Drosophila melanogaster: one gene and its partners. The protein of the gene in region 4 interacts with the protein of the main gene of each other region in a pairwise test. Each region holds a gene or a part of one and is shown on either strand. Other genes may lie near its edges. The genes, in order: CG12824, CG12158, CG30154 and CG1275.

Region 1 (5,033 bases), on a different chromosome or scaffold from region 4:
AAACAACATAAATACACATAACGACCAATTGAACTCAGACCATATAAACTATATAGCTTATATATACTTTATACTTTTTGGTGGATAAAGGGTTTGTTTTCATATATCGACCTGCGTTCTTATACAAAGCGGCTTTCTTATGAGCATAACCAAGGTCACGAAAGGTCATACACATATGCTTGCTGCTTGGTACATAGCTTATCGGCATTACAGAATTGAATCGATTAGCATCAACCAGGGCTGCAAAGAGCGGGATATTTGAAAATGCCGTCATTCTAAATTTCCAAATGCTAAGCTTAAGATATTTTTAAAAAATATGTAGCTTTTATTATTTGAGCTATTTCTGTTCAAATTATAAGGCTTAATAGAATTTCCATTTAACAATCATAAAAATATTGATGGTAAATCAAATGGAAAAGTAATTTCAACAAATCAAACTCTCAGTATTAATTTGTATATTATAGAATGTAATATATAAATACAATAACACCACTAAAAATGCTCTTCACCATATTATATATAATTATTGCATTTAGTAAAGACAAAATATATAACCATATCTCAGAAGCATCATGCTTTTGATAAACCAACAATTGTAAATGGCAAAATGCATCATATGGGATTCACCAAAATACTTTTGACTTGCATGTCGGCATACTTCGGTGGAAGCCCATCCTTGCGCATCCTGCGGAAGGCCTTCTGCACCGCATAGAATGCCATTCCGAGGCAGCCTGAAAGTAGTTTTTGGATTTATTGAAGGACGAAGTTAATCTCTATATTGTACCTATCATTGGCGCTGCGCAAAACATGACGATTAACCAATCGCCCATGGCCAGCAGCACAATGGATGAGTAACCCATTAAGTAGAGGAACATGGCGGTTGTGATCATCCAGGGCACGAAGAGCTTGTGCCTCTCCTGCGATGAGAGAATGTGGGTGAAAAATTGGAAGTTGCATTGGGAGTATGGCCGACCTTGATGGCTCCGCCGATGAGTACTGCGCTGCTGATAATCTGCATGGACGCTATGTGAACTCCAAATGCGTAGGATAATTCTGCGGGGAAACTGGTATTAGATGTGCTGGCTCTTGAACTTTGACCCCCGTTCAGTACCCCTCAAGTTGGCGAATATGATGAGGTAGGCGATCGCAAGGCAGATCGATGCAGCCCCGGAGCAAATAATGCCCGCCTTGGAGTCCGGTTTCCACATTTCCAACTCCTCGATGGGCGTTTTGTTCGCAAATGATCCATTGTTCCATTACTAAAAAGCTTTTTTTAATACTTATCTAATCAGCCATTGCTTTATATACAACGCATATACATAAAAGCCTTTGTGGGATATATAGGCACCGCAAAAGGGATAATAAAATTGTGCATCATAGAAAACAAGCTTTGCTAAAAGCCAAATGATAAAAGTAAAAAAAAAACAGAATTACCTTTGTCAGAGATAACAGAGATGTGAGCTGGAAACGAAATTTCGCAGAAAAAAGATAACAAATATATTTTCAGAGCACACTGAAAATAATAGTTCACAAAAGTGATTGCCTTAAAGTTTATAGTTCCCATTGCAAATTGTAATAAACTTTAGAAAAGTTTAAATTTACACCGATTTCTTGTGGGTTTGTTTCGTTTGAATAGCACTTAAAATGAGCTTTTATTTTCCAGCTATCTGATCTACCTTTAATCTTTTTTTTGTTTGTATTGAAATTGCTTATATATGTATCTATATGTGATTGATGAACTCCTTCTTGTCGGACAAGCTGGCATATGCCGGTGGCTCCTCCTTGCGCATCCTGTCGAAGGCCTTCTGCACCGAGTACAGGGCGCAGCCCAGATAGGCTGAAAGTGAAGGATTTTGGTTAATTGGCTGTCCAATCTCTGGCTGCGTTAACTCCTCACCTGTGAACGGAACGACCATCAATGGTCCGAAGATCCAAGCTGTGCCCTGGACTATCAGTGAAATGAACAGGTTCACCATCAGGTATAAAAAGAATCCTGTGGTTATCATCCACGGCACGAAGAACTTGTGCTTTTGCTGTATGCAGCAAAGAGCAGAGCAAAGAGATAAGAGATAAGAGTGTTGTGGACTGTGCACAGTGTGCCTAACTAACCTTTATGGCTCCAACGATGAGGACCACGCTTCCCAAGATCTGCAGCGCCGAAATGTGTATTCCCATCTCGTAGAGTCCATCTGAAACGAAATAGCTCTATGCATCGCAAAGATATCCAAGATTGGTATGTATATGCGCCTACATTTCCAGAAGTAATCGTCCATCAAAACCAGATAGGTTATGGCAAAGGCTATGGACAGGCAGCCCGAGCAGATGATTCCTCCTTTGGTGTCCAGCTTCCACATGTTTCCAAAATCGCAGAGTAACTTGCAGACCGCCGATTATTTCACAACTAAACTGGACGGGAGTATTCATGGTGGTGATGGGTGAGCAGGCTAGCTTTTGCCGCAGACCTTATCTAATCTCATATTGTACTGTAGCTCCTCCACCAGCGCAACAACAATTGAAGAAAACCTTTGTTGGTTAGTGTATAATTATAATTTTATTGAAGGATTCGCTTATTATTGCTTCGACTGGCCAGCTAACTGGGCAATCCATGCGGGCCTATCTATCGATGGGTTCCCAACTTGTGGCTACACCATTTTACAATGAGATACGACCTCGAGTCGATTACTTTGAATAATGCAATGGAATTTAATTGATTAGCTAACGAATTGAGAGTGGCGAGTGTGCAAAAATTTGTTAATTGTAAAATTTGTAACATGCGTTTTACTATTTGGTTTTCTTGCATCTTTAACTAGTATAATTAGGTATAAAAAAATGTTACTGCAATATCACCGCACGGCATTGCTTCATATGTATGTTTTGATGTATAATAACTATTCGATTTTCAGTTAACTCGCGTTATAAACTGCAAAATGTAGCGTATTTTAGAAAACGTTCGAGGCGTTCTACGTTCTGCGTGAGAATCGTTGATTAATTTGAGTTAAGTGGCGTTAGAAATTGGTTAAGATAGACTTAAGAAACTTGGCAAACGTCGCCTTCCTCTGGTGTTATCAAGTTAGTCAAGATATATAAAAATACGTTACGTAGGTTATAACATTCGATTAGTACAAGTAGGTATGTATAAATATATAAAAAGTACACAACGTGTAAATAAGACTAAGTCAATAGAGGAGACCTCCTTCGGGCAGGTTGCTTAGCTGCCCCGCGCATCTGTCCTTTCTCATCATAAGCACTTCATATTTCGATTTGTTGCATTTCGATTGGTTTTGTTGTTTTTTTTTTTTTTTTTTTGTTTTGTTTTTGGCAAAATCACAGGAGAATTAGAAATATAACATCAATATGATAGAGCGAAAGTGCATTCGATAGAGCATTCGTTCAACTTGGGTTGCTTTATTTGCCTTTGCTTGCACGAACTTGGATTCCGCCTTAGTTAAGTTTAGTTTTGCTTCTGGGGTTTTTGAATTCTTTAAATGTATATTTGTATAATAAATTATGACTATATATGCATTTATATATAAGTATATAGATGAATATATTTAAGAAGTAAGTAGGAGGCGCATTATTCCACTTTTCAACTTAGGATAACAACATTGCATTCGCGATTTCTCCCTAAGCCTTCGATCGCTGTACTGACTGACTGGCTGGCTGGCTGACTGACTGACTGACTAACTGAACTGGCTCGCCAAAGGCTCATAACAATATTTAACTATAGAGAATCGCCGATCAAAAATAATAACCATATGAATAGTGGTGATAGTGACAATCGAAGGATGCCGACGTGTATAAAATAAATAAATAACATCGCGTAGAAAAGGATCTGCGTTAAACCTATTTTAGACATCGACTACCATCTTCTTGTGAATGTCCGTGTTGCCGACCACAGAGCAGAACTCATCGAACGAGATCTTGCCATCCTCATCCTTATCCGCGAATCCGATCGTCTTGTCCACAATCTGCTGCAGTTGCGTGTCCTTCAGATTATTGCCTACCATCATCTTTAAAACCTTTTAGAGGGGAAACACTTCAGTGGAATGAGCTTAACGTAATGTTCGCGGGTCTTGCCTGAAACAGTTCGCCATTGGAAATGTAACCATCGTTGTCCATGTCATAGATGCGAAAGGCGAAGCGCAACTTGGACAGCTTGTCGCCCTTGACGCTGAACTGCGACACGCCCTGGATGAACTCCTTGAAGTCCACCTCGCCGTTGCCGTCCGCGTCGAAAATGTCGATCACGCGCTGCACCAGCGGATTCTGTTGCAGCTCCGGCAGCGACATGAACTCGTCCACGCTCAGCGCGCCCGAATTGTCCAGGTCCAGTTTCCGGAAACGTTTGCCCAGCCGCCGGATCTCGTCGGCGTCGACTGCAGAAAGGCGGGAAATATATAGAAATAGAGATTTAGATTCTAGAACGGTGTGAGGATTATGATTACAGTGGAGCTCTTTGAACTCTATACTTAAAAATTCAACATCAAATTTCTATAGCGTTATTAGGATTAATAAAGCTTTTAAATACTATTATTTTCACTTGAAATATTAAGTAAATTTATCTAACATACAAATGTAAATTATTCCTTTTCGCGAATATAAATCACATAATTGAAACTAAAGTTATTTAATTATTACTATTCTGCTAAGTAACTATATAGTATTGAGCATTTAAACAGCCCTTTAGTATGCAGATGTAAAACCAGATTTCGAGATTCTGGTTAAGATTGTTGGCGATTTATATTTAGCATCCGGTTGTCTGTCGATCATCAGATGTGCGACAAGGTGTGACAAATACACATTCTAGAATGGCAATTTTGAAATAGGACGATGGTGCGGAATAAAGAGTTGGGAATTCAAAATGTATTTCTACGCCACGTTTCGTTTGCATTCCACTTTTGTTGGCCATTCGCGTATTTACATGCCTACATATGTGCATACGTACATACGGGCGTACAATCGTACATGCATACCGTATCTAAATGTACGCTTCTAAATGCCCATGTTTGCATATTCATAAACAGCTGCCATTC
Region 2 (4,762 bases), on a different chromosome or scaffold from region 4:
GGCGGGGAACGATCTCAAGTGACTGACTCATGTAGTGTGCACTTAAATTACATGTTTTTGAGCAATGCACCCATGTCGCCTTAGATAACAAAATCCTAAATATAATTTATCGCTCTCGATTCATTTACATAAGATATGAACGGAGCCCAAAATTGTAAGTCTTTAAATATATTCGTGTTCATGTGTGAACAGGCACACAGCAAAAAAAACGTAACATTTGATTTACATTTAGGATGATTATGCAAATCATTCAGCTTACAAAACAACAGATTGATTTGTATCAGCTCCAATCAAATTTGCGTTCATTAGCCACTTGCTATTATTAAAATACACTGATTTAAGGACTAAATCCTACTACCCTAAGTAATGTAAAATTCTGAAATATATTTCCTATTTTATGACATTTGTAATACCACTCCAAGTCTAAAATGTAAATTTCATTTGTTGCTATTAATCATAGTTAACAAGAGGACTGGAAGAATTTACTTTAATTTAAAATAAGGGATAATAATGGCCATTTTCAGTGCTTCCCTTCCCTGTGAGACTCTACATATGTACATACATATGTATGTATGTACGTATAGTATGTATCCTTTTTGACTGATAGCGATAGCATAACTTTTTCGGTTAGTCTCCGAGGTGCATTCACACATGGCTGCATTTCAGTTGCTGAAGTAGAGCGGCTTAGAAGGTGTTTTTCCGGGAATTGCAAGGGATGTCGGTTGGGAGGGGATTGGGTTCTCCGGCGACTTTGAACAGAGGGTTAGCTGCATCCAGACTCCGGCAGTCATAATGCAATTATGCACTGCCTGGCGGCACAGCTCCTTTGGTACGAGTAATAAGCATTTGCATTTTCACAGAATGTAGAACACAAGTCGCTGAAGAAGTTGCGCTTTGTAGGTTTCCATCGCTCCGAATAGCCCGGCATTGAAACCCCTTTGTAACCCCTTTCCTGGCTCATCAGCCGGAATGGACCTATGGCCATGTGCGCGGGGTTGAGGGGTGAGTTTCATGCTCATAATTTGTGCACTTTATTAATAAAGTTTTCCAAATTGGCTTGGCCCAGACGCAGTGCAAATACACAAAGCGAGGAGGAGAATGAATATACAAAAAAAGTGTATAACAATTGTAAAACAATATGGCTCTAAGAACTTGTGTAAAACATAACATTTTTTTTAGTCACATACATAAACAGAAACGCGGGCCTATATTTTCAACTGATAGTGGAAGTTTTCAGAGCCTTTAAGATGACAAATCTATTCAGTCATGTTATTTTCCCTTCGATTTCAATTTGCTTTAAGATTCTACCCTCGAATTTCTCTTTTCCCTTTGACCATTAATATCGAGCTTGCCTTTCTAAGCTTACGGGGTTCAAGAAACGAAGTTTTTAGTTTGCTGGGGAAAGTGTTTATTTAAGTAACTGGGAAAGTGGCGAGGAGGTGTGTGTCCCCCTCCAGAAATATCCCAGTTCTAGTTGTTCTGCCCGCTTTGTCCTTGTCCACTCTGCTGGTTGCCGTTTCCATTGCCATTTGGCGGTCTTGGCGGCTGTCCCTGCGAATGTCCATTTTGGCCCTGGGCGGCCACCTGCAGCGGCATTTGTGCCTGGAAAACCTCTGGTTAGGCCAAGTGGATGATTGAAAACCCTTCAACTCTTACCAAACCCACAGCCAGAATTAGAAGGAAGATGCTGAACAATGCGAACTGCTTCATGTTGAATTTGAAACTAGTAAACTAACAACACATGTGGTCTTTTATAGTCATACAGCACAACTGCGGTTCCCAAGAGATTATAATCCAGTGCAATTAACCATCGCAGTGAACAAAATGGCAAAATCAGTTTGTATGTTAATAATGCCATTCTGTATTATTTTGCTCGCTCGAATCTGATTTATAATGTCGTAATTGCGTGTGACCCGATCTGATCGCATATACAATATATTAAAACGACAAAATAACTCCAAAGGGGAGCCATCATTTTGCTGTTTAATTGGAAAAACAAATTTGAAAAAATTAGCCAGAATATCTCTCAAATGTCACTAAGGTCATCATATCATAGCTATAATTAACTAAAAATGTATAGATTGAGCTCTAAATTTAATAACATTTTGGACACGCCAAAACAAATACGTTTTGCGAAAAATTAACTTGGATGGTAAGAATTTATAAGTCAACATATAGCGATCTGATTCACACTCTGACTTCAAAAGCTATATTGATTATAAAATATTTGGGCGTTTTATCTTTGATAACATCAGAGCGTCATAAGCAGTTACTGAAAAATAACCACTAGGTGGAGCTCGTGTGCACTCACGGAAGCAGTCGGAGTAACAGGTATCTGATATTCGATACTTTTGACACTGTCTCTGGTTTTTTGTATCTTGTCTTGGTAAACTATTTTCCTAAAATATTCCAAGTGGCATATTAAATTTCCTTAGCCTCGCACTTTACGAAGCTTTCGAAATCAATTCATTTAGGCACTATTACATTTTCATAAAGTTTGTCTAGGCAGAGTAAACCGTCAATTATTCAAACTGGATTTCCTATTGCTGCTCGGTCTTTTAATTTGAGCGTATGCTCAAACAATCCAACACACCAGCCACCCATATGCCACCATTCTTTGACTGACACTACACGTTTTGAAAGAGATTCGCACACCACCCACCATCCACCTGCCATCCAACTGCCACCGCCCATTCACTTGCCCCTCGCCATCACCTTGGGGGCATGGTCGGGCAAAGCAATTTCGCTCGGCATTTTCGAGCGTTGAGTGGCAAAATGTCTTCGGTTTCAGCTTGAGATTAAATTCTGCCGAACGTTGGCCAAACAGAAACAAGACTTTCTAGTTTACACAACAACGATGGGTCCCGCCCGCCGATTCACCTGTCACCACCTATGGGCACATCGATGTTTGCAGACTGAAGGAAGTGCATATAGTTGAATTATTTAGTTACAATTGATACAAGTATAGGTAATTTCTAATGTTAAGTTGGGAGGCATTCTTGAAATTAATCTTCTAAGAACTCTATTACAATAATTTTGAAAAATTAAAATAAACTATAAGAAACATACATATGCGTATGATAGTAACAACAATGCAAGCAGTTGCAGAAATAATTTTTAAAAATATTATAAACGACTTTGTGCAGATTTCTTACTGTGTACTTGTGTGGGTTTTTTTCGGTTAATAAATGTCCCTGCCACAGCGAAATATGAATATTGAATATGCCCATAGTCGCGAACTGAGCGGCTGAATAAACCGCAAGCGAGTGGCGAACCCATAACGCCTTATAACCATTTCGGCACTTTTCAGGACGACGGAGGAATAGCCAAGGATTTGGATGGCCATATGGGGGAAGGAGGGCGGTAAATTCGGGTAGCAAGACGACACCAGCATACATTGTGGATGAGCACTAATGAAGTCTCAGCCCTCGTCCTTTACAGTTGGCTGCCTCATTGTTTGACTTTGACTTTGCCACTACCTTTCACTACCAACGGCCCCGCCCACTTTTCCACTTTGCACACTCACAATTGTTTGCACAGTCACTGCTTTGTCCTTTGACCCCCCCGCGCAAAGCACTCCGCCTCTGCCTCTGGCCAGCCTATTTATTTATGTTTATAATAGGATTTTTATCAAAACTTTTCCCCGAATTAATTTTGTAATGAGTATTTAAAAGACACTCGCATTTGGACAGGACACACACACACAAAGAGACCCGCAGCGCGGCATTCTGGTGTTTGTCTTTTGACACGCCCGATGGCCACTCAACTTTTGCCGCGCCCTTCTCGAGGAGATGTCCTGGTCGGGTCGGGTCGGATCGGTTGGACCAGGATGGTCAGCCAACATTTATGGTTGATGTCCTAATATGGGGTCTATTAATGGTGTCGCAAGCAGGGCTCTGACTTATTTCACAGAAATTTCCGTTTAGAGACCACTTATTGCGATGGGGTCTATTAAAAATTAAACGAAGTCTGGCCTTTACTTAAAAAAGAGAAACAGAAGCAGGAAATATGATTTCTTTGAATACATATTATGGGTAAAATTTATAAGGAAAATTGTCATCTTCATGGAAGGCACGACACAACTGGAAATTTTAGAGAAATATAGGGCATACTTTAGTTCGTTCTATTCCCTGGAGTTTACATTTCTGTTTTTCCCATTCTCATTCGCTCCAGCTACTTTTTGTTTTGACTAATTTGCTGCAATGTTCAGTCATTATAATAATGCCGGTGTGGATGTTTCGTCGAGATGTTACGAGTCCGGTGGTTTCCTGTTCTCAGGGCTTGTGAACGAAACCGAACTAGATAATTGCCAAATATTTGCGTAAGTTGTCCGTGGTGCACTCATCTCATTATGGATTCAGACCGATGGTCTGGCTGGGATTCGTCCGCGATGCCGGGATGTAGATGTGCTTTGTGGACCGACCACCCACTTTCGGGCAGTGGTTCGGTTATCGCAGGGTATTACGTGGTCATGGGCCCACCTCAAATAACTGCGGCTGTGGCTTTGCTTCATTTCACTGCCCAGCCGAGTTTTGAATAATTCCCTGGCATGCCACTGCCTTTGCCACGACTGACCCCCACCGGCCCTTGGAAAACTATATAGAGGCCTGCCTAATTTTGTCCAAATTTGCTGTTTAAACATGGCCAATTTAATTTTCGGCTGCAGACAGGGCAGCTTGCCAAAAACAGCCTGGTGGTTTCGCCGTTTTGCCGTTTTGCTTCTAGCTTTTTTTTTTTTTTGCCGGAAAGCAATTAAGTCAGG
Region 3 (5,079 bases), on a different chromosome or scaffold from region 4:
AATATCAGCCATGGTTTTCTGGAGATTGGCGTGCACCTCTTGCTGGATACGATCGGCATAGTTCTTTGCCTCCGCCTCTAATTTATCCCGATTGTCGAAGGATTCGCGATCGCCCAGAAATGTGCGTCCACCTATCTTGGCAATCACCGTATGATCGGCCAGTTCGATGACTATATCACCATTGGAGTACTCCACCTGAGCCGGTTGTCCGTTGATGGTGACGGTTTCCTTTTCGTTAATGCCTGCTGCTTTTGGCCTGAATGTGTACACCTGGCCGTGATCATTGAGTTCGATGGCACCATTTATGATCCTAATACTGCGTCCATTGCTGTTCATGTAACTTCCATGACTCGCATCTCCAACAATGAAGCTATGTCCATCGCCATGAATTACGCTGGATCCCGAGCCACCATTGATGATAACATTGTTATAGCTCCCACCGTGACCATAATCGTGCGAGCTGTCCTCTTCGCTGGAGTCGGCATCCGTGATGATCCTGCGCCCATCGGATCCGATCAATACTGTTTTGCCATCGGGTCCACGAATGATTTGCCCGGCTCCGTTTGATAGGAAGGTGTTTCCATTGTTCTGAAGAATCGTCTGGTCCTCATTTCGCTGTATATTCGCAGCTATAAAAATACAATTTATTTTTTTTCTATCTGCACATACAAAGTATATCTATATATTCACCGCTAGACAGAGAGGCGATGCCGGCCAGCAGGCCCAGTAGAATCCAAGCTCCAGTGTTCGAGCCCATTTTGCATTGACTATGCCAATGCCAAGTGCGATGCCAGCTATTTATACTATCCCATAAAAATATCGGCTCATCGCGCCGTATTCGTTCTATATACTCTATGAGATCGGTTCTCAGTGACAGTGACTCTCGCGCAATAACAGATAAGACGGAGGAGGTCAGCGGTGCAGTCTACCGGGAATTGCCACCGACGGGTTTGTTTTGTTTACTTGCGGTTGAGCGACAGAGGCACTTCGTCACCGGCTTGCCAATTCACTCTCGATTTAGACGGATCGAGAGAGTGGGGGGAACTGTGTCAAATCAAGAACGCTTTTTAGCCAGGCCAAAAGTACGCAGATATGCCATAGAAACTGAAAAGTTGGGTGCGCTGCGATTTGCAACATTCTGAAAAAATTATTATAAAACACGTGCTGATATTGTTATGACGATCAGAATTGAAAAATTCCCATAAGCTCGTTTGCATACTTATCAATAAAATCAATATCAATCAATAGCTTATAATTTCGTAGATTATTTCGGTTTGTTCATTCGATTGCAATATTAGTTAGATTCAGGAAACAATTTCAAAAGCCGTATAAACTGTATCTTCATATTCATATTTGCAATATTAGGCTTTTAATCTCGTTTAAATATTTTGGCTCTATTACATACAGTATAGTAAAGGGTTATATTTAAATGTCATAGATAAAAAGGTGCACAATTAAAGTGACTATATATAAGTGAGTGTGACCATGAATGAAGTATTAGCATACAAATCGAGTACTGTTCGACGAAAATCAATTGCGAAGCAAAGTAGTTGTAAAATTATTCACAAATTTACTGTAAAATCCAGCTTGACTTGGTTGTGGTCACGCCTCTGCCACTTGGATAAATTTAGTAACGCCACTTGCCGCTGTTTTTCGAATGGATGACTATATTGTCGGTGGACTCTTCTCCGCCATTCCAGGCGGGTCCGCCATGGGGTCCAGAATTGGAGGCAGGTCCCCATTTCCACGGCATGCCATGCACTTCACAAATGACAAATGTGGGTTTATAAAAATATAGATAATAGATATAGATATTAGAACACCACTCACCGCTGAGAACGACGAAGCAGAGCCAGAGCAAGAGAACCCAGAGTTGTTGACGTAGGTACATGATCAAGCCGAGGAGTTCCAATGTTCCAATGATGGGGCATAATATGGACACACTTGTTTTATACGGCTCCAATAGCCAAGTAGCGCTCTATCTCTTATTCGAATCGTATCTCTTGGATTGCTTTGGACTCTCGCTCTCACTCCCTCTCTTAGTGGCATTCTCTGTATCTTTATTTGTCCATGTTTGGATACGTGGAGGGATTCGATAATGGCTTAAGCTCTAGCGACTTATGCATAATGCAATTTTCTGTTCTTTGCACTCTTTTAATTCTCATTGAAACCATCGTGCCACCACTGTCGAATGCACTCAGAGAAATTTATGGTTATATACAACAGGATTAAAGTGTCAAAAGTTATTTATTATATTTTACAAAAATATTTTTTTATATTCGCTTTTGCATATAATTTAAAAAGTAAAATAATCCTAATTTACGCCACTAACTAAGTCATTCAGTAGATATTTATTTCAGTGTAGACGCACAATAGCCGGGTAATTAAGAAGTTTCGCCATGTGGCTACGTTTCTAATTATTTTCAATTGAATTGCTTTGCTATACGTAAAACTTTTTCCATTCCTACTGCCATTAAACATATCGTGGAACTGCTCGGTCCCACCTCGGATCCCCGGCCATTGACATTATCCAATGTCCCCCGGCGTCGAGTGGGTTTATCGTTGCTGAGTGGGTGTATATAGCTATCTAAGCTGCGTTGCATCGGGAAAAGTTAAGCTCTCGTCGAGCCAAGTTTCACAATAAAAATTAAACAGGTACTGCATTGTTTGTTAATGACAAGCGTTTCGTTGTTGCTGCTTTGTTTGAGTGGCCATGGATTTGGATTAGTTGGAAAATTGGAGTGGTGGTGGAGTCACTCTGTTCAAATAAAGCAATTGTAAAGTGGAAAATAAAATGCCATTGCTGAAAGTTTGTCCATCACTAGGAAAAACTGAAGTAGTGTGTAGAGCCAATTATTTCAGTGCCTTGACATGTTATTTAGCTCGTTGTTATGCTGAGTTTTCAAGAACATGTCCTGTCAAAATCCAACGATCATAGTTATCAAAAAAATGGTATAAAAATAGTTGAGAAAGTACAACAATACGCTGAAACGTTTCGGAATTTTAAAGATTTAATCAGGCTATTAGTACCTTTCCTTAATCGCCGCTTCTAAACACGACGAGACTGTAATTGAATTCTGGCACTCAAGTGCAGGTTAAGAAGAAGCTTAATTTAACCTAACTGTGTTGGCCTGGCTTTTATTGCCACCTACACTCGTTCTTTATTCAATTTATGTGCGACTTACATTAGCCCAACTGCAAAACCGAGATCAGAAACGTACCCAAACGGCGGCAAGATAAACGACTTTGAGTCTGAAATACGGCTTGTATGCTGGCCAATGGATGTGGGTTTCCATTTTGGGCGATTCGCCCGGGGGATTCCCATGCACAATCTGCGCCTGGTCAAAGGCAAATGTGCGTTGTCCATTGTGGATGCTGTTGTTGCTGCAGTGCGAATCGAATCGATTTGATTTTCCAATCAATTAAACTTTATATAAATTGCGTCTGCGATGCTAAATATAACAACAATTGCACACCGCGTTAGCAGCGACAGCAACAGCAAACATTTCCACAAAGTACAAATAGAAAATAGCACTAGAAGAGGTATTTGTTCGCTCATTCTGTTAGTCGCCCCCTCTTTTTCTATCGTCACTCCCCTCTCTGTCTAACCCTCTAATTCGCTCTCCGTCACTCCTCAATGTCTCTATTAACGGCTGACTGCACAATCACAAAAAAATGTGTTCACTGAGTGATCCCGACTGCACTGAAATTAATAAGTTCATAATATAATTTAATTATATGCTTTGAAATTAAATTTGGTACATATTGAAGAAATATAAAGCAAGATTATCGTTTTATGAGCTAAGCATTTTCTGTAACTTTTAAGTTTCGCGACTTTTTTTTTGCAGTGTACATTTGTCAGTTGGTGGAAAGAGTGTGTCTAGCTATTGGTGGTGGCTGATGAGTCAGGTTAGAGGAGACTGCATTTTGCACGACTTTGACTGCATTTTCGCATTTGGCAAATGTTTTGTGTGCGATTTTGAAATGCAGACGACGATGTTGGGCTGCTGCAGATGACTTGCGACGTGAGCCATTGTTAGAACGGTGTCAGTTGAAGATGATGGTGTGGGTGGTGGTGGTGGAAGGGGGGGGGGGGTGAGCTAAAGACACGGAAAGTGTATTTGATCAATCAAAAATGGAAGCAATCTCCAGTTTAAAGTACTTGCACCAAGGCAGGTGGTCCTAACGAACACAATTAGCCTAATAAGTAAACAACAACTTGGGGCAAAGTGGGCGTCAGCGAAGCGACATTAATTGAATTATTGGGCAAGCTTTATAGGCATTACCTGCACGGGGTGAGGGACATTCATTAATGCTAATTGAGTACACAGCCCACGAATATGTACTTATACATATATATACATGTATATATATATTTGTTATGATCCAGGACAACAACACGAGTGTTTTCAACCGTACGTACACCCATCAAATTACATTCTGAAGATGCAAATTTATTTACACGCTGCCTAATTTGGTTGTTTGGTGATAGAGAGTAGAGAGTAGGCTTTAAGGCAATCTACTCAATCATTTTGAACCAATAAACTAATAAATTAGTTTCTAATTTGATGGAAGCCAATAATAGTTTGCTGTTTATCAGAGATTTAGGCGGCTTAGATTAAGTAGTGAAGACGTCGCAGTAAGACAATGCGTTTATTTGTGAATTAATTGTAAAAGGGATAAATTTAAGCAATATATAAAATATAGGAAAAAAATCAACTCAATTTTAAAACGCATTTTATATCAAATTATAAGCTTGTGTTTTATTTAATTTTAATTTCTGTTTCAAAGACGTACATAGAAAATGTGATTTTCGTTAACATCCGCATTTAATACATTTGCTTTCGCAGCAAAAACATCATCGACAATAGCCTGAAAAAGTTATGCAATTCTTCTCCATTTTGCTCAATTTTTTATTCCTGCCAGGACATTTTGCACTTGGACTAATTTCAAAGAGTCATATATCAGTCCTACCCCAGCCCCAACTCACGCACACAAAAACCCTCACGGAAAATTCCACTCTCTCCGCTTGTGAAAAGACACCTGTAGACTGGCAGCTCTCATTCCAAACCCCTCCCT
Region 4 (9,380 bases):
GCTGGCATCCCGAACTACTTTCCCGCCCACGCTTCCTGCTGCGTTGACCAGGCGCTGGAGATGATCCATATCACGCAGGGTGTGAGTAGCCGGCGCGAGCTGGACATTAACCTTCGAATTGGTGTGCACTCGGGTGAGGTGTTTGCAGGAATCATTGGGCACACCAAATGGCAGTTTGACATCTGGTCCAAGGACGTGGACATCACCAATCGGCTGGAGTCATCCGGGCTGCCGGGACTGGTGCACGTTTCCCAACGGACGCTGAGCATGCTGGACGAGCACTATATATTCAGAGAGGGCACCGAGGCAGCCAAAAATGATCCCATCCTGCAGCAAGCGGGGATCCGCACCTTCCTGGTCAGCAATCGACTTCCTGATGCAGTGGAGCCCGGCGAACTGGACGACGAATTGAGCAGCGCCTCCATAAACTCATGCCGCCTGAGCTACGGAGGATACTACGAAGAGATCCAGATCAAGGCGCAGCGCGAGATAATGAAGGAGGTGGATCAAATGGCGGTAGGGCACTGCTTCATAGAATGGAGACGGAGCAGTTCGATGAAGAAACAGGACTTCAATGAGGAGTACCTGTTTAGCAACCAGATCCACCTTGTGCTGGGTGTGTTCCGCAGCTGGAAGAGGGAGTGGGAATTTCATAACCTGCCTGACCTCATGATTAAGTACACCATGCTCTTAGTTCTTTGTGCTGGACTGGCCATAATGAGCATTAACTTAATCGAAGAGTAAGACGACTCTGCTAGTTAATCTGCCAAGTACTGCACTTTATCTCTTGATCCACAGAGCTACATACCCTGATATTCTGGTCTTGCTCGGAATTCTTCTCATACTACTGATCCTGTGCATTCTGGCTGGATACAAAAAGCTTCGGCTGCAGTGGAAGAAACTAACGCCCATGTCGCAGCCCTCTTGTTTCCTGAGTCGATGGCTTCTCAGGATCTCGGAAAGAATCGAGGACTCTCTGTTCGTAAGGATTCCATTGACCATGGTGGTACTGCTCCTGCTCTACGTTATGTCCTCTCAAGCAGTGGTGAGTATTTATAATTTGTGATCAAAAACAATGCTCTGCATATCCTTTACAGTTTTCCTGTGATGTAGCGAAACTGGAACTGAGTATTATCGAAGCCCATCTCTATAATGAGAAGTCGTATGCGGAGTGCTTCGGTCCATGGGTTGGTTTCACTATCTACAATTTTGAAAACTAGAAAACATCTCCTACTTTTAGACTGTCACTTACTGTGTGGTCATCGTGATCAGTCTTCTGTTTGTCGTCCCGGGATGTCCGCTGGTGATAAAGATACTCGCCGGCCTGCTCATCCTTGGACTCCACTTGGGCACCGTCCATTTATACTACGGGTTCGCCTTTGAGAGATCGGAGACCACTGATCTGGGACTTAAGTCGGACTACGCCCACACCTGGTATCTGGTGGCTCTCTTCATTGTTCTCGTATTGCGGGAACGTCACGTTAACTACCTTCGGAAGTTTAACTACTTGTGAGTGTGTGTAGATCTTTGTGTATATCGGTTCCTCATTCCCTTTTCAGCATGCGCGTTTGCTACGAGGAAGCCCACCAGCAAACTGATGAAAAGCTGCGCTCCATCAAGATCATTATGGCTAACATCCTGCCCACCCACGTGGCTCAGGTGTACAAGGTGCGACGACCCCACGACCAGCTCTACTACGAGAACTTCTCCAAGGTGGCCGTGATGTTCGCCTCCATCGAGAACTTTAACGCCGACACGGCGGGCCTACGGATCCTGCACGAGATCATTTGCTGCTTCGACGACCTCCTGGTTGACTACCAGACCAGGTACAAAATCGAAAAGATCAAGGTAATGGGTTGGACCTATATGGTGGCCTGTGGCCTCGAAACGGACCACTACACGGACTTCTCCATCGACATTCCGGTCAAGCAACCGGAAGCTGATTCCGAAATTAGACGAGGATCCAGCGGTGACTATTTCCCACGACTAGATTAGAGTACAATTGTAAAAGGTACATCTATTCAGTTCTGACTGTCCATTTTGGAAGTACCGAGGACGATGAGATGAGCGGCGATAATGTCAGCCAGCCCTACGCCCAAGTGCAAGATGTCGCCGTCCTGGTGATGACCGAGTTTGCCCTGGACTTACTTCGCATCATGCACGACATTCGGTACAACTACGTGTTCTCGGAGTACGATACATTCTTAACGGGGAGCTTGAAGATAGGTGGGCTGCATTACCTTCACCGTTATCCTAATCCATCCAATGATATCTAAGGCATCTCCCATGGATCCGTGATGGCCGGCGTTGTTGGACTCTCGAAACCACACTATGATATCTGGGGTCATACCGTCAATATGGCCTCCCGGATGTCCTCCACTGGATTGCTGGACAACATCCAAGTAACTCGGCACACGGCAAAGGTGCTGCGACAATTTAACATCCGCTGCAACTACCGAGGGCACACGGAGGTAAAGGGAGTGGGCAAGGTGCCCACCTACCTGGTGGTCGTAGACCCGGATCTCACATTCCAAGATCACGACCAAGTGAGCATGAGTATGAAGGACTCAAAAAGCTGGGTCATCGACACTCTTTCACTGTCATTCACCCCGAGCTTCGTGCCCCCAAAGTCTTCCACTTCGGATGAAGAGGAGGCTGAAGGAGAGCTCGAGGAAAATGTATCTGAAGGCGATGAACTGGAGGTCTCGATACATGAGCGCCAAAAGGGAGGCATCTTTCTGGCCGGGAACCTTCATTAATTTAAATTTATTTTAATAGATATATATATATATATATATTTATTTAAGCATATATAACACACATATATAGATGTATTCGTACAGTTCAAAGCAAATGTTTTTCTTGAGGTTAAATACGTTATGATTTGAGCACTCGCTGAAATCATTGCACAACTGGTGACCAAAGTATACGTATGTTCATAATTCAGAGTCATACATAGTCGTTAGGTTATGTACATGCTACAGATAATACACTCATCTTGACGAATCTCCATCTCCATCACTAAGAAAGCACCATCCGTGTGATCAGGTTCGGTTTCGTTTGGTTTTGTGCACAGTTTTTAGCTTAAGTAAGCATTGCAGTTGATTTGGGGCATGGGCATAGCCCTTACTCGTTGACAGAACTGGAGTTCAGCAGAGCCGTGTCCTCGGGAATGGGCTTCCGCTTGTAGGAGGGCTCAGTGGCTAGGTAGACAACCAGCGCCCCGAAGACCACGTACATTACTCCAATCACATTGGCCAACACACCAGCCGGTGGAAGAGTGGAGTAAGCCGGAGTTTTGCTAGAAATGTCGTCATGGATTAGTCAAGTGATCGATCTAGAATGCATATACACCTACATGGCGAAGATGGCCTTCTCGGTTATGCCCATCAGGGCACTAGCAATAGCCAGAACGAATCCAAAGAGTCCGAAGTAGATGTGCAGCGGCATCATGGCGATCCTGTAGTTCTCCCTCAACCCCGGCGCCAAAAAGGCCACAAATCCGGCCACATACTGCAGCGAGAAGACGATCACCGCGGAGAGCCCCAGCCAAGAGTGCAGGGAGTACATGTTGGGAATGGGCGGATTGGCCAAGTTGTGGGAATCGAAGACCGTCTTCAGGGCAATCACCGTCAGAATGAATGCACCCATGTGGATGCCGGCGTGGGTAAGCTTCAGAGTCTTCTTGCGCGTGGTGCGGAAACCACGATAGATCAGAATGGCTGTGGGATTGAATTGAGTTGGATTACCATTTCGAAGCTAGTCAATGGGAGTGGCGTGGCACCTCTTCCGCTGCATTTACTCACAGTTGCCATACAGGTAAATGAAGCCAATGGTCATGAACAGCGGATGCCAGTTGAACTCCACGCCGGGATTTGAGGTGCCGGCCAGACCGCCGAAGTGCTGGCCAATCCAGGTGGCCACCAGGACGATCATGGTCAGGCCGCACAGCTGGGTGAGCACATAGAGCACCTTAAAGTTGATCAGCGCTGGATCCATGTTGGCCTTGCCGCTGCCTGAAAAATCCAATAAAAGCTGGGGATGAGCTAAAAATAGAGGCCATTTTACGCACAGCACGCATTGGCGATCTAATCGCATAACTCATTCAAGGGTAGAGATATCGGGGCATCGAAAGGGGAAGGGGATCTCAAGCACTCGTTTATATTTTCCATACTTTTGGTTTATAGCCTCTGCTACGTAAACATGATTCAATTACATGTTCCACCTGCCCGCAGATTAAAATAACCCCCAAGCACTTGCTGATAACATGCGACCAGAAGTTTAGGGAGCCAATAGGCTTCCCAAAAACCCACTTTAACAGTTGTACATCTGATCCGCTTCGATGGCAGCTGCACTCGTTGGGTAAACAAACAGTTCCTTTGCCGCCAGCCATCCGATACTGCGATAAACAAGATCTCATCATATCGACTGGGCCCTGAGTTAATGGGAACGGCCTGTTCCCAGGCACTGGGACACACCCACGACCCCTTTCGCCGGCCACTCACCAGGCGTAATTTGGCTAATTCATGCGTAAACATTTGCGCTTGTTTACCCAACATTAATTTTCAACGCCAGAGCGTTCTGCCCACTTTATCTGTCGCCTTATCAGTATGTTCTCCAGATAGTCCGAACATCTGATATTAAATCGCTTTAAATAGCATCGTACAAGTTCCTCGTGCTTGATGTTGCAGCATGATACATTAAATAAATTAAAGTTCGATTCATTTTACGGAACGTACGGGTAGTGAAAGTAGCCGTGTTCATAGTTTGGTATAGTATAGATTGGACTTGACTAAGATAGTTTAAAAGGCTAGTAAACTTGTAGGTGCAGATGCACTCGATAAGGGCCGCTATCAGCCGCCCTAATTGGCGTTTGGTATGCAAATGGTGTTTTAATTTCGACTCGGGCGAATAATAAGCAAATGAGCCAAACTGCCAAGTGTTGGCTTGTAAATTGGCTGATAAGTGCGCCGGAGACACTTGTAGCTGGCAATCGCAATTATAAATGCTGGTAACTGGCAGCAGCCACGCGTCCCCGGTTACTCAATGGGCTCCAGTTGGAGTGCTCCATTTCGACGCAGCTCTGGGTTCCGAGTGAAATTAATTGGCACATTAGCTGTGACTATGACTGTTAATTATTAGGGTTAAGTGGGCGTGCCAAAGACGCTGACCAGCAAAGCGTTGCAGCAGATCGTGCGCAAAATTTGAAATAAACAATCCACATAGGCGCACCAAAAGACCGAAAGTAAAACCCGGGCAGATGACTTTGGATGAATTTGGAAAAGCGTACAAGTCCGAAGACAGCGGAGCAAAATAAATAAAGTCTGGAAAACCAAAGTGAAATTCAGCTGGTTACTGGTTACTGGTTACTAGTGGCTGCTTGCTGATCGCGGATCGTGATGCCGATGGTGATGGTGAAAACCGCGGCGGGGAAAGGGGACGGCTGCAGTCTGTCTTTCGGTGCGTTTTGCTTTAACTTTTACTATAACTAAACACTCGGCTTGTTGGTTTATTTTACTTGGCACTAATCAAACTTGCAGCCAAAATCCAATGCCATGCACAGTCTACCTGTTGGTGGTGAAGTTGCCGCCGCCGTTGGAGTGGCCAACTCAATGCCAGCGATGGTTGTTGCAGGTTGCACTTGTTCTGCTGTCGCAGGTGTTGCAGTTGTTGCTGGTGTCGCTGCCGCTGGCTTTTCCCCATTAGTCACCGCGATCACTGTGGTCGCCGTGGAGATGGTGGTCGGAACGGCGGCCTGTGGCTGCTCCGGAATCGCTGGCTCCACCTGGACAACTCCGCTCTCCGGCTTGGTCGCCTGCTCCACGTCCGCGTCCTTCGACATGGTCTGTGCACTTTAAATCAATAATTCACCAATGGTTCAACCACAAAAAGACATGCAACGTATAATGGACGGTGTTAATTGCCCTAAGACACAGCACAAAAACACTGGTAAATGCTAGTAACTAACTACTAGTAACTAATCCGCACGACACCCCGTTAATACAACCGAACACTTCGGCGTGCAATGCGCAACTGAATTTAAAGTTTTCCAGCCGCCGCCCGGCGATGGTTAGGAAAAGCTTTTTCCGCTCGCAAATCTCTCGCATGCGACATCGCACACACATATTGCTCATTTCGGTGTGGATAATTGTTTGGTTCTCGATGCGGATAGGATTCCAGTGGGGTTGGGTTTGCTTTTGACTTTGCCTTTGGCTTTGGGTGCCAACGAATGCTGGTTAGTATGCCGGACCAGGTCGATCGCTTCTGGTTGGGAAGGGGGTGCATTGATGATTATTTGCATTTCGCATTCCTCGGATCTATTCAAACCATTGTCACTGCGCGGCATTTCAATTGCGACTTTGACTTTGATGTTCTGTGCATAGTAATGGGATGGTGCAGTGGAACTGCTTCAATTGGAACTACTTTTTGCCAGAAGGAGTGGAATCCAAAACGTAAAAGGGTTTACAAAAAGTTTTTGGGTAAAATTTGTTAGTAACAACTATTTCAATATTGTTCTTAGTTTCGAAAGTACATCTACAGTAAAGTGAAACCTTTAAGGACAACAAGTAGCTTTCCCTCTTAAAGAGCTTAAGTTCATGCTGTGCAATAATGACTGTATGTGCACTTCAACTCACCCAGTGAGAACAACATGGCGTATACTTGATTGATGCTTCACTCTGCTCAGATAATGCCTGTTTCAATACCGCCTGCTCTTATCTTTAGCAGCAATTAGTGACTTTAAAGCGATGACGATGGGTTTTTCGCGATTACTTCTGATTTTCGTGGCTACTGCCACGCACTTTACTCTACTTGTTGAACAAACTGCTTAAAATGCAGGAAGCTGGGCCTTCCATATGGAGGAAAAGCCGTGGAAATTCTGCACAGGCTGCGTGGGCGTGAAAGCCCTAAAGCCCCGCCCACTCTGCCGCACTTGGCCATTTCATTTGGCATTTCCACGAGCTTTTCGTTGGAAGCTCAGAACTGTAAACGCCGAAGCACACATGCAAACAAACTTTCGGGCTCACACCACTGTAGAAAAACCACTTGTTGGATATTATATTAATGGAAAGCCACAACCAAATTATAACTGTTTGTAAACTACATTTAAAGACGTAGTTGAAATAGAAACAGGTAAACTTACAGATTTGAAATGAATCAGTAATCCAATAATGTGTTTTGTTTGGAATATTTCCAAAATGTCTTCAACGGAAGAGGCAAGAACACAAACAGAAACGGCACAAACACAAAGAGATAATTTGGCAGCATAAGAGAGCGGAATGCTGTGCGAATTTACTACGTCAGCATTATTATTAACAAGTTAAACTTAAAGCGGCACATTCATTGATACTTAATTTAGTACAGCAAGTCAAGGACACGGTCAAACTTTCACTATCAAAGGGTTTTAAACTGTAACTCGATCTGTTAACCGCTTCGATTTTCTGTTTACTCATTTGGAAAAAAGCGGGACAACCAGGGATGCGAGAATCATACTGTAGCTGCGTGTGCTGAAAAAATAGTGTGCATTTAATATACGTTCACATGATGATAGAAAGTACTGACTGTGTGAGTTTTAATTTTAAAAATTTACAAACTTTATATTCATATTTAACTAGAGCTTGGAAAACATTTACTTCGAGACCCTGGATTCCCTTATGCCGCCAGTGTGGCCCATTGAGCACGACTGAAACACGCTAACGCCTTTAGCTCGGCAGCACTGGCAGCTCCAACAAAAAGCTTCAATTTAAAATAATATTTAGGTAGTCCCACAATAAATGCTAACAAAATGCTCTCCAACCTGGTGGTGACCAAGCAGAAAGTGGTCCTCGTAATAGGTGAGTACACACTGACTACCCCATCGTCTGCCAAATAATGCGACCACCAATCTCCCGCCTCATCCACAGATGAGCTAAATCGGGAGCGCATTGCCCCCAAGTTCATCGGCAGTCTGCTGCACGAGCAGGGACAGGGGGCGGATACCATCAAGGCCCTGCCCACCGGCGTCAGCCTTAAGCACGTGGCCACCTTCGAGGCACTGATCGACAAGTACGCCAACAACAACACTGGGAGTACTACGGATTCCAACTCCACTGGCTTTAACGTCATCCTGCCAACATTGGCAGACCTGCTGTGCTACCAGACGCCTGCTTTCATATTTGGCTTCCTCAACCGCCTACGCCGCTCGGACAATGTGCGTCGGGTTTTCCTTTGGGCCTCCCCGCAGCACCTGCAGGATCCGCATGCCGACTACATCCTGGCTGGCTGCGAGTACCTGGCCGAGCTGGTCCTCCGACTGGAATCGGACAAACTACTCTCGCTGATATCACGCAAGCCGGGCGGAGGGGTGTCCAACAGGCGCTACTCCTGCGAAGTCAGCAAAACCCAGTTCAAGGTGACGCCGCTGGACGGAGGACTGCCTGCAGGTGCCTCCCCCAAGCAGCCCTCGCCCGAGGCGGAGCAGACCACAGAGCCGGCCAGCAGCACCTTCAAAATCGAGCTTGACGAGGATGAAGTGTTGGCCCGCAATGCACTCACCCTGCCATACGAACGGTGAGTGGTAACCATTCTCTATGCGTTACATCTCCTTATTGATATGTTCGTATATATGATAGCACATCCGAGCCGTCTGAGGGAAACATAATATACACGCCCGATGCCGACGACGATTTCGACGAGGAGGATCCGGACGAGGATCTGTGCATCTAGGCTGCCCGCCAGCAGCGAACGGCAGTACAAATAGCCTTGGCTTTAAGTCTCCTTAAGTCTAACCTACTAAAACCATAAAATACCTGGAATTCCGGCCCCAAAGTTCCGCCTAGGGGTGTGTTCAACCTCGCCAGAGGAGCAGAATGAATCTTTGAACGACCACTTAGTACACGTAGAATTGCTCATTTATTTTGGATAACTTGATATGTGAATCAAAAAATCGAAGAAACTTGTGAATACATACAACTGATTCAATTGCTATCTGGTGGTGCCCTAGCTTATGACTTAGTTAAGGAATTTCATCTAGCTAACCTTATGTACAGTTAACTCTCGATTACCTCCACGATATTTGGCTGCAATGCGATCTTTTGGTGTCCAGTGCGTGGCGTATTTACAAGGCGTTCAACCTAACTAACTTAACTAGTTCCAAAGTGCTACTATGCTCTATTGATATGAAAATCAAATACAATTGGAGCGGCGGAGTTCCGCTTCCGGTCAAAATGGCGCTTAAAAGTTCACATTATCACAACAATCTATACGAAAACATCGAGAAGAAAAAGGAGCTATCAAAAAATCGTTAATTGCGGTTCGACATCTAAATCTTGGCGAGTATTTACACTAGAGAATTAATAACAAATTAATGCATGGCAATGGCTCATTTGAGCAGGGCATCCACA

Evidence for each region.
Region 1: the proteins of CG1275 (region 4) and CG12824 interact in a two-hybrid assay, tested with the Drosophila melanogaster proteins (one large-scale study listed by BioGRID).
Region 2: the proteins of CG1275 (region 4) and CG12158 interact in a two-hybrid assay, tested with the Drosophila melanogaster proteins (one large-scale study listed by BioGRID).
Region 3: the proteins of CG1275 (region 4) and CG30154 interact in a two-hybrid assay, tested with the Drosophila melanogaster proteins (one large-scale study listed by BioGRID).

Annotation. Positions count from the first base shown.
Region 1 is NT_033778.4:7,786,577-7,791,609, reverse strand, and holds CG12824 (uncharacterized protein), read right to left. Parts: upstream 1,243-5,033; 5' UTR 1,209-1,242; coding exon 1,112-1,208; intron 1,054-1,111; coding exon 974-1,053; coding exon of another isoform or gene 918-973; coding exon 785-917; intron 732-784; coding exon 613-731; 3' UTR 501-612; downstream 1-500. Other genes in the region: CG12825 (uncharacterized protein), read right to left, coding at 1,722-1,837, 1,898-2,033, 2,110-2,189, 2,252-2,354; CanB2 (calcineurin B2), read right to left, coding at 3,849-4,019, 4,078-4,376.
Region 2 is NT_033778.4:9,361,180-9,365,941, forward strand, and holds CG12158 (uncharacterized protein), read right to left. Parts: upstream 1,728-4,762; 5' UTR 1,711-1,727; coding exon 1,657-1,710; intron 1,603-1,656; coding exon 1,471-1,602; 3' UTR 1,395-1,470; downstream 1-1,394.
Region 3 is NT_033778.4:20,530,204-20,535,282, reverse strand, and holds CG30154 (uncharacterized protein), read right to left. Parts: upstream 1,925-5,079; 5' UTR 1,892-1,924; coding exon 1,831-1,891; intron 1,762-1,830; coding exon 1,628-1,761; 3' UTR 1,349-1,627; downstream 1-1,348. Other genes in the region: Bbd (bombardier), read right to left, coding at 1-629, 691-757.
Region 4 is NT_037436.4:2,249,971-2,259,350, forward strand, and holds CG1275 (uncharacterized protein), read right to left. Parts: upstream 7,454-9,380; 5' UTR 7,142-7,453; intron 6,843-7,141; exon of another isoform or gene 6,652-6,842; coding exon of another isoform or gene 6,636-6,651; intron 6,041-6,635; exon of another isoform or gene 5,853-6,040; 5' UTR 5,843-5,852; coding exon 5,569-5,842; intron 4,017-5,568; coding exon 3,807-4,016; intron 3,723-3,806; coding exon 3,359-3,722; intron 3,302-3,358; coding exon 3,127-3,301; 3' UTR 2,774-3,126; downstream 1-2,773. Other genes in the region: CG32305 (uncharacterized protein), read left to right, coding at 1-740, 799-1,045, 1,098-1,187, 1,241-1,509, 1,560-1,969, 2,026-2,226, 2,278-2,759; Elp5 (elongator complex protein 5), read left to right, coding at 7,784-7,832, 7,902-8,547, 8,610-8,703; oxt (peptide O-xylosyltransferase), read right to left, coding at 9,359-9,380.